Linked DNA regions of Oryctolagus cuniculus. The protein of the gene in region 1 interacts with the protein of each later gene in a pairwise test. Links are inferred from orthologs where the notes say so. Each region holds a gene or a part of one and is shown in the gene's direction. Other genes may lie near its edges. The genes, in order: GPS2 and SESTD1.

Evidence for each region.
Region 2: the proteins of GPS2 (region 1) and SESTD1 interact in binary tests that used the Homo sapiens proteins (3 or more experiments, as listed by UniProt). The two-hybrid records come from large-scale screens. The link is inferred for Oryctolagus cuniculus from reciprocal best matches to the Homo sapiens genes GPS2 and SESTD1.

What each region holds. Positions count from the first base shown.
Region 1 is NC_091448.1:51,915,326-51,919,909, reverse strand, and holds the start of GPS2 (G protein pathway suppressor 2), read left to right. Parts: upstream 1-1,571; intron 1,572-1,624; exon of another isoform or gene 1,625-1,868; intron 1,869-1,989; 5' UTR 1,990-2,059; coding exon 2,060-2,153; intron 2,154-2,441; coding exon 2,442-2,551; intron 2,552-2,622; coding exon 2,623-2,735; intron 2,736-2,856; coding exon 2,857-2,936; intron 2,937-3,012; coding exon 3,013-3,095; intron 3,096-3,256; coding exon 3,257-3,410; intron 3,411-3,488; coding exon 3,489-3,578; intron 3,579-3,666; coding exon 3,667-3,746; intron 3,747-3,846; coding exon of another isoform or gene 3,847-3,868; coding exon 3,869-3,964; intron 3,965-4,100; coding exon of another isoform or gene 4,101-4,104; coding exon 4,105-4,446; 3' UTR 4,447-4,584. Other genes in the region: NEURL4 (neuralized-like protein 4), read left to right, coding at 870-1,074. UniProt on the Homo sapiens protein: Key regulator of inflammation, lipid metabolism and mitochondrion homeostasis that acts by inhibiting the activity of the ubiquitin-conjugating enzyme UBE2N/Ubc13, thereby inhibiting 'Lys-63'-linked ubiquitination.
Region 2 is NC_091434.1:61,871,856-61,876,145, forward strand, and holds the start of SESTD1 (SEC14 domain and spectrin repeat-containing protein 1), read left to right. Parts: upstream 1-1,260; 5' UTR 1,261-1,547; intron 1,548-1,784; exon of another isoform or gene 1,785-1,922; intron 1,923-4,290. UniProt on the Homo sapiens protein: May act as the primary docking protein directing membrane turnover and assembly of the transient receptor potential channels TRPC4 and TRPC5.

The sequences.
Region 1 (4,584 bases):
TTTGTTTGTTTGGTTTTTGACAGGCAGAGTTAGACAGTGAGAGAGAGAGACAGAGAGAAAGGTCTTCCTTTTCTGTTGGTTCACCCACCCAATGGCTGCTACGGCCGGCGCGCTATGCCGATCCGAAGCCAGGAGCCAGGTGCTTCTCCTGGTCTCCCATGGGGTGCAGGGCCCAAGCACCTGGGCCATCCTCCACTGCACTCCCGGGCCACAGCAGAGAGCTGGCCTGGAAAAGGGGCAACCGGGATAGAATCCGGCGCCCTGGCCGGGACTAGAACCTGGGGTGCCAGTGCCACAGGCGGAGGATTAGCCTAGTGAGCTGCGGCACTGGCCAGCCTTTGGTATTTTTAAAGGTGCTGAGTCAATACTGTGGAAACAGAGGAAGGAGAGTGGGGTGAGGCGGATGGGAAATGCTGATGCAGCAGCCACATTACAAGGGGTCATCTCGGGGCTCACGGTGCCTGGGGTCAGTTCCAGGCTCGCTCCTGGCCCCAGCCTCCTGCCGATGCAGACCGTGGGAGGCAGCAGTGATGGCTCCAGTGACTGGGCTCCTGCCACCCCTGGGGCAGACCTGGATTGACCTAAGCTCCTGGCTTCAGTCCTGGCCCAGCCCTGGCTGTTGTGGGCATTTGAGGACTGACCAGCACATGGGAGCTCTGTCTGTCTGTCTCGCTGTCTCTGCCTCTCAAATCGGGCGGGCAGGGTAGGCGTCACAGGAAGGGGAAGTGAGGGTTGTGGCCGGACAGGCTGTGGGAGGCAGAGCCTTTGGGGTAGACAGAACAGCTGGAGCTAAGGCCTTTTCCTTGGAGCAAACCCTAAGTGTGGCTGGGGCGGAGGCCTCACTCCCGTTTCTGCTTCTTGCCCGACAGATTCCGGGACCCCAAGTCTCAGCGGACACACCGGGCTCAGGTGGCGTTCCAGGTGTGTGTGCGCCCTGGCTCCTACACCCCGGGCCCCCCTTCCGCTGCACACAGAGAACCTCCGGACCCCCACTTCGGCGCGGCCGAACTTGAGTGGGTCACTAAGGAGAAGGGGGCCATACTCCTCTATGCCCTGCTGGTACGGGTGGAATGAGGGGCGAGACCCCACTACTACAAGCACAGCTGGGTCTCGGCCCGCGGACTCCGAGTGACGCCTGCCTCCACCTCATTCCAGTGACTCATGGCATGCACAGGTGCTCAGTGTTGGCAGATGCGCAGGAACTGCAGTGTAGACAGGCTCTCAGATTCAGATGGGAAGTGGAGCACACCTCCGTGTCCAGGGGCCCAGAACACTCCCTCTGATGGCGGGGAGCTTGCGGGGAGCCCAGCTCCGGGCCCAGGGGACCCCTCTTCATGCACTGATTTGGGGAACACGACTCCCTACTACTCCCCTCCCCCATATCACTTAATTTATTTCCGTTTTTGTTTCTGGTTACTGTGAATCCCAGGAGTCCCCCTGTGTCCACATGAAGCTGCTTTTCCGGGGGCCGGCGGGCGGGCGTGGGCCGGGCGGGCACGAGGACGACGGGGCCCTCTGTACAGTTGTTACTGACTGATTTCTAAAGAGCCAATAAACGCCCTCTCCTAGCATCCGCTTCAGCCTCTCTGTCCCCGCCGCCCCGCGCCGAGGTTTGGGCGTCGCGGGCACCCGTCCCAGTGCACTTCCGCCTCTCCCTCGGCCAACCCGCGAGGCCGGCCTCCGCCGTGACTCCGGAAGCACTCGGCCCGGCCGCCGGATGTGACGTAGCGGGGGCCGAGGTGCGCCGGGGCCGCGGAGAGAGCGCCGAGAAGGCGGGTAGGGAGGGGCGGGCGGCCCGGGCCGCGGAGGAGAGCGGCCGGAGCGTCCAGCCGGGACCTTGGTGCCGCCGGGGCGCGCCGCGGAGCGGGGTCTGTGGCCAGACCGAGCGAGGGGCTCCCGCCGCACGTGACCCGGACGGCGAGCGGGCCGGGCGGACGGGCTTCCGCCGCGGCTGGCCACGGCCCCCACTGAGCTCCCGCCTCCCCGCAGGCCTCATCCCGAAGTCTGGCAGTCACTGACATAGCCGGGCGCCCACGGCCCGAGCGTCCCCACCGGCACCATGCCCGCGCTCCTGGAGCGCCCCAAGCTTTCCAACGCCATGGCCAGGGCGCTCCACCGGCACATCATGATGGAGCGGGAGCGCAAGCGCCAGGGTGAGCCGGGCCGCAGTGGGAGGACGCACGCCCGGGGTGTCTGCGCTGGCCCAGGGTCGGCCCCCGCCCACGGGCCGACCCCTGCGCGCGAGGCCGAGTTAGAGGAGGGAAGGAACACCCCCACGTCGTGCGGGGAGTTAGAGACCTGCTCCCAAGCTCCAGGGAAGGACCTTGGAGAGCACCTGATCAAGCCGCCCTCTGGCTGTCCCGTGGCGGTGGAGGGAGCGTGCAGGAGCCTCGGGGTAACTGGCGTGGCTAACGTTGGGCTCCCCCCCCCCCCTTCTGCAGAGGAAGAGGAGGTGGACAAGATGATGGAACAGAAGATGAGGGAGGAGCAGGAGAGGAGGAAGAAGAAGGAAATGGAAGAGAGGATGTCCCTGGAGGAGACCAAGGAGCAAGTACGCACCGCCACCTCCCTGCCCGGCTCCTCCCGCGGCAGCCGCGCCTCCATCCTCTCCTTCCCCCCCAGATCCTGAAGCTGCAGGAGAAGCTTCTGGCCTTGCAGGAGGAGAAGCACCAGCTCTTCCTGCAGCTCAAGAAGGTTTTGCACGAGGAAGAAAAACGGAGGCGAAAGGAGCAGAGGTGGGATCGGGGAGCCGAGAGTGGGAACGGGGCCGGCTGCACCGGGGCGGGGACAGGGCACTGGTGCTCGATGGCGAGGGGCTCCTGTGCTTGGCTCTGACCTGCTTTCCTTTCCCTCCAGCGACCTGACCACGCTGACCTCGGCTGCCTACCAGCAGAGCCTGACGGTGCACACGGGAACTCACCTGCTCAGCATGCAGGGTGAGGGCTGAGGGGCCCACCTGCCGGGCAGGGCAGCCCCCCACTCCAGCGTCACAAAGCTGCTCTTCCTTCCTAGGGAGCCCCGGAGGACACAGCCGCCCAGGCACCCTCATGGCAGCTGACAGAGCCAAACAGATGTTTGGACCCCAAGTGCTTACGGTGAGAAAAGCAGGGCGAGTGGGCCCAGGCCCATTGCCCTGCTACACCCACCCTGGCGTACTTGATGTGAGAAGCATCCCAAGCACACCTCGCGTCTGCAGAGCTCGCGAGTCCGGAGTTTGTGTTCCAGTTTCCATGGAGCTCTCGTCCCCCCTCCCTAGACCCGGCACTACGTGGGCTCCGCAGCAGCTTTTGCAGGGACACCAGAGCACGGGCAATTCCAAGGCAGTCCTGGCGGTGCCTACGGGACTGCCCAGCCCCCGCCTCACTACGGGCCCACCCAGCCAGCCTATAGTCCCAGCCAGCAGCTCCGAGGTGAGTGCTAGGGGGCCCCTCCTGGGAACCGGGAAGGAATGCTGGAGTTCTGATGCCGGTGCCTCTTGCCTTTCTCAGCACCGTCAGCGTTTCCTGCAGTGCAGTACCTCTCTCAGCCTCAGCCACAGCCCTATGCCGTGCATGGCCACTTCCAGCCCACCCAGTCAGGTGACCAGGACACCCACTGGGAGCCCTAGCTCCAGCCCCTCCCGTCCTCACTCTCACGTCATTTCACACGCCCCTGTCCCCCACTTAGGGTTTCTACAGCCTGCTGGTGCCCTGTCCTTGCAAAAGCAGATGGAACATGCTAACCAGCAGACTGGCTTCTCAGACTCTGTGAGTACTGGGTCCTGGGGTGTGGGTCAGGACTGTGAGGAGCCCTTGGGGCAGGGGGTGTGGCGTTAGGACTGTGCAAGGTTAGCCCTGCACACCTCAGGTCCTGACTCTGTTCTCTGCAGTCTTCCCTGCGCCCCATGCACCCCCAGGCTCTGCATCCAGCTCCTGGACTCCTTGCCTCCCCCCAGCTCCCAGTCCAGATGCAGCCAGCAGGAAAGGTAAGGGTGGTGATCAGCAGGGAAAGGTCAGGACAAGTGGCCACGACCCCCGCCCTGCTCTGCCCTGGGATGCTTGTCAGGGTCTGAGTGGGAGGGAGAAGGGGCCACTGACAGACCCCTCCTGTCACTCCACCAGTCAGGCTTTACAGCTACCAGCCAGCCCGGCCCTCGGCTCCCCTTCATCCAACACAGCCAGAACCCACGCTTCTACCACAAGTGACCACCAGAGAGTCTCTTCAACCCCACCACGGGTGAGGGTCCCCCTTGTGTGTCCCAGGCCAATAAACTCTACCTGCCATGGCCCTGCTGCTGCTGTTTGTGTTGCCCCCACCCAGCTGTGGGGCATTCCACGGCTGCCTGGGGGGAGGGGGAGGCTGGCAGGTCCACAGCAAGTCCAAGTGATGACAGTTGGTGACAATGAACCCAGAAGCAGAGTTCAGTTTATTTCTGGCTTCCAGGTACACTTTCCAGTCAGCAAGTAGCCATTCAATTCAAGTAAGCAGCTGAGTTGGGTGCTTCATATTAAACTTGTAGTTTTATTCAGGTTTGATTTTTAACAAATGTGTCGGGGAAGAGAGCCCGCAGGAAAAGGGTGAAGCCCATGGGGGCAGGGCCTCCCA
Region 2 (4,290 bases), on another chromosome or scaffold:
AGTGGAGGGATATCAGGAAAGACTCCAGAGAGAAATGGAGCCTTGAAGGATAGCTGGAGCTCACGAGGCTGAACCAAGGATGGACTTCGGAGGCGGAGAATTCTGTAGGCAGAGAGGGAGCTTGCAGAATCTGTGGGCACCGCGTGGGCGTGGCGTTGGAGTAGCTGGCGAAGGAGCTGAGGAGCCCTGCGGATCAGATTATAAAACACTTCAGATTCTGTGGAAATGAGCTTGCACCTGCTTCCCCCTCAGAGGTGGAGAGCGTCCCAAGGATGCTAAAGAGAGAAGCATCACGCTGCCTCCGTGTTTTTGGAGCATTCTCCACCGGAGAACGGAAGCAGAACTTAACTTAGGAAGGCTTGATGTAAAAAGTGGCCAAGAGGTTAAAGTATGGGACAGACTGCTCCTCACGAAATTAAGAGGAAAGAGTCATCCTTGGGGTTTAACATCAGACGACCTCAGGAGGGAGAAGCTCGCTTGCCCAGCTGTTGGCGAGGTTTTATCCGGGTTAATTCGGTGAGATTTAAGGGAGTGGTAGAGTGGGTATCATGGAAGGCCTGGGATTGGGACCACATGGCTGTGATTTTCTGTGGATCAGCGGTGACTCGGCCGAGTTCAGGAAATGACATAAAAGTGATCTGTGCACTCAGAGGAGGAAGAGGTCTCTGAAGTTAGTCCATTTGGAGGAAAAAAACCCAAGGGCTGCTAACCATGGGGAAGTAGCCATGATCAGAAAGCCCCATTTGTGGCTTCCTTTCGGACTGTCCAATGGGAAGATCCTCAAAGCCCAGTCGATGTCCACACCGCAACCCTTTCCTCCCCGCCGCCTTCACCCGACTCAGCCACGCCGCAGCAGACCCCCTCTTCCTGGCACCTCCTGGCGCTGGGTACCTGGAAGCCAAGAATTCCAACAAAGTGAGGCTGAGGACGTTGGAATTCTGAAGCTGTCGGAGACCCTACACTCGAAGACACACGTAGCTCAGGATGAGGTCAGAGGAAGCAAATACCCTGCGAGGATGCCGGGCAGCGGGACCTTTCGTAAGCCCAGGGCTCCTGACCCCAGGACTCCTTCTACCACCCCCTCCCCCTCCCCCCGCCTCCCGCCACCTTCCCGGCCGGACGCTGGCCGCTCCGCGAGGGGTGGGGACCACCCGGAGCGTGGGCGCCCCCCCCCCACTCCCGCCCAGCCCCCAGCCGCCCGCCGGGCTCCCGCCCCGCCCCCTGTCCGCGCCGGGCGGGGTCGCCGCGCCGCAGCCGCCCGAGCGCGCGCGAGGTCGCGCGGACGCGGGTCTGGCCGCGGGTGCCGGGAGGTCGCCGGGCCACCCGCGCCGCCGCCGCCGCCGCCGCCCCCCGCCTGACGCACGGAGGGGCCGGGACGCGATTTGCGGCGAGTGACTGGAGCCGCCGCCACCCAGGCCCGCTCCGCCCCCCAGCCCGCCTTCCTCCCGCCTCGCCCTCCGCCTCCGCCCGCGCCTAGCCAGCGTCCCCGTGTCCTCCCCGAAGCCCCGGAGCCGCCGGCCGCCAGCGCCAGCGCCAGCACCGGCCAGGTGAGTGTGGCCCGCCTCGCGGCCGGGCGGCCCAGGCGGGAGGAGCGCGCAGGCCCGGCGGCCGGGCGGCGAGCGCGAGGCGGCGGGCCCGGCTTTCTTCGCCGGCGCGGGCCGCGGGGCGGCGGGGCCGCGCGCTGAGGGAGGGGCGCCTCCAGCCTGCCGGCCCCGCTGCCCTGCGGCCGCCCCCGCTCTCCGCCCGGCCGCCTCCGCAGACAAAGCGCCGGAGGTGGGAGCCCGCGGGCCGCCCCTGCTTCTTGCGCCTCCTGCCCGGGAGCGGCAGCGGCCCGCAGAGCCCGAGAGCCGGGGCTGCGCGCTTCTCCCCTCCTGAGCGCCCTTGTTCCTTTCGGGGTGAAAGGGACCCGAATCGTGCAACAGGTCTGGGCGTTAATCCTTATTTTCCAGCGGGTCTCGCCCTCCCGGCGTGCTGGGAGCAGACGCGGCGCCCGGCTGCGGGGCGAGTCCCCGCGTCCAGCGCCCGCGGCGGTTCCTTTGTGTGACCGGTGACCAGTCCTGCCCGGTGGGTGGGGGACACGGGCGCGAGGCCCCCCGGGCTGAGCCCAGGCTCCTGGATGCCTCCCTCGCCGCGTGGGGCTTGGCTTCCCCGGGCCTGCGGGAGGTTACCGGAGTCACAAAGGGGAGGGAGGGAATGGGTTGGCTGGGATCCATGGCTCTCTGTTTATTTTTGATATTTTAGGTAGCCTCGTGTTCGGAAAGAGCCGCAGCGTGGCCGGCTCCGGAGGGTGCGGGTGGGATTTCAGCGTGGGACGCAGGGGCTGGGCTGGGGGCTGCTGTGTGTGACAGCCCCGTGCAGCGTGCCCCGAGGGTTTTGACATGTCTCCCGGAGACCCAGACATCCCCAGAAGTTGGGAGTAACTGGATAGCAGCTGCTTGACAGGTCATCAGGTTAGGTGTGTGCCAGGCGTGCCCACCGCGCATCCCAGCGTGGCTTGGCAAGCCCTCAGAATATACACGGAGTACTCCGTGTGGGAAAATCTTCATCCATAAGGGGCTTTTTGTTGGCGTGGTCAGTCCTGATTTCTTGGTGTCAGAACCCACCAAAGAACAGTTCGTCTTTGTTTACATAGCCTGTGTCAGGCCTTACCTAGCTGCTTTCATGGGTGTGCTATTTTAGTATAACAATACTAAATAGAAGGAAGATACCTTCGTTTTTGCTTTGAGCAAGAAAATGCTTCTTTGTTCTAGAACCAGGAAGCCTTTAAACTTATTACTTTCTGTGGACAAAAGTTGGTGCCTGTCTTTACCCCATGACTACACTATGAAAGAATTCCCAAAGGACCTGGAAAGCATTACACAACTCTATTGATTGTTTTTATTTCTCAAATTCCAGGAAATCATTTTGCTGAATATTTATTCCAACATTCTAGACTAACCTAAAAATTCAGGCCTGCCCTTAGTAAGTTCCCCAACATTAGAAAAGTGAGTTGATCACATTTAAAGAGTTCGCAGAGTCCTTTCCTCTGGGCGTAGTGATTGGAAGGACTCATTGACAGACAGATTAGGATCTAGTCAAGTACCAGGAATCTATCAGCAGAGTGCAGGGGACAGAAAGAGAGGGGAGAAACTAACATCTACTTGGGTTTTAATTCATTGATGCTTAATAACTCTTTAAACAGGAGATCTTACTAATGAGGTATCTGAAAGCTAAATATTTGCTAATTAAAAAATAGAAAATATCACATGTGCACAGACTCCTTGAAAAGAGCATTTCTTTTGAAGAAGTAAAATTATACTACATCTGATTTGTAGGAAGTTTCTCTGAGAAGGTAGTGTTTACTTCTCTAAACATACTGTTCATCTGTGAAATATCTTACTTCAAAGAGCTTTTATAGCTGTTACAAGAAACAGGAGTGGCCTCTTGAGAAAAGCAGGGATATTCACTAATAAAAAGTAGCTTAAGCTTAAACTTCCATAATAGTTTTATTTGAGATATAATTTGGTGTGTCATAGAAGTCACTCTTCTAAAGCATACAGTTGGTGGTTTTCATATAGTCACAAGACGGTGCAAACATCAGCGCTAATTTAAGACCATTTTCATCACCCTGAAAAGAAACCTGTGTCCACTGGCTGCTGTTTCCTCTCCCCTGCACTTGGCAACCACTGATCTGTTTCTGTCTACGTGGTTTTGCCGGTTTCGGACATTTCATATAAATGGAATCATACAACATGTGACCCTTGCATCTTTCACTTAGCCTCATGCTTCCAGTGTCCATCGGTATTTTAGCATGGGTTGATGGTGCATTCCTTTTTAATGGCAGAATAATATTCCATGCTGTGCCTGTGCCACATTGTATCTACCCATTCATCAGTTGATGGACATTTGATTTTTCACTTTTTGGCTATTATGGATAATGTAAACACTCATTTACAAGTTCTTGTGTGGGTAGATATTTTCATTTGGGAATATACTGGGGTGTGGAGTTACTGTGTCTGTGGTTCCTCTAAGTTTTTGAGGAACTGCTAAACTGTTTTATGTTTTCACCAGCAATTCATGAGGGTTCCATTTTCTTTCCATCCTTACCAACACTTGTTACTGTTTGTCTTTTTTGGCAATAGCCATGTTAGTAGCTTTGAACTGGTATCCTGTGGTTTTCATTTACATTTCATCTTTTCATGTTCTTACAGGCCATTAGAATATATTTTTTGGAGAAATGTCTATTTCATTTATAATAGTTGCATTATTATTATTTTTACTTATTTGAAAGTAAGAATTACAGAGAAGGAG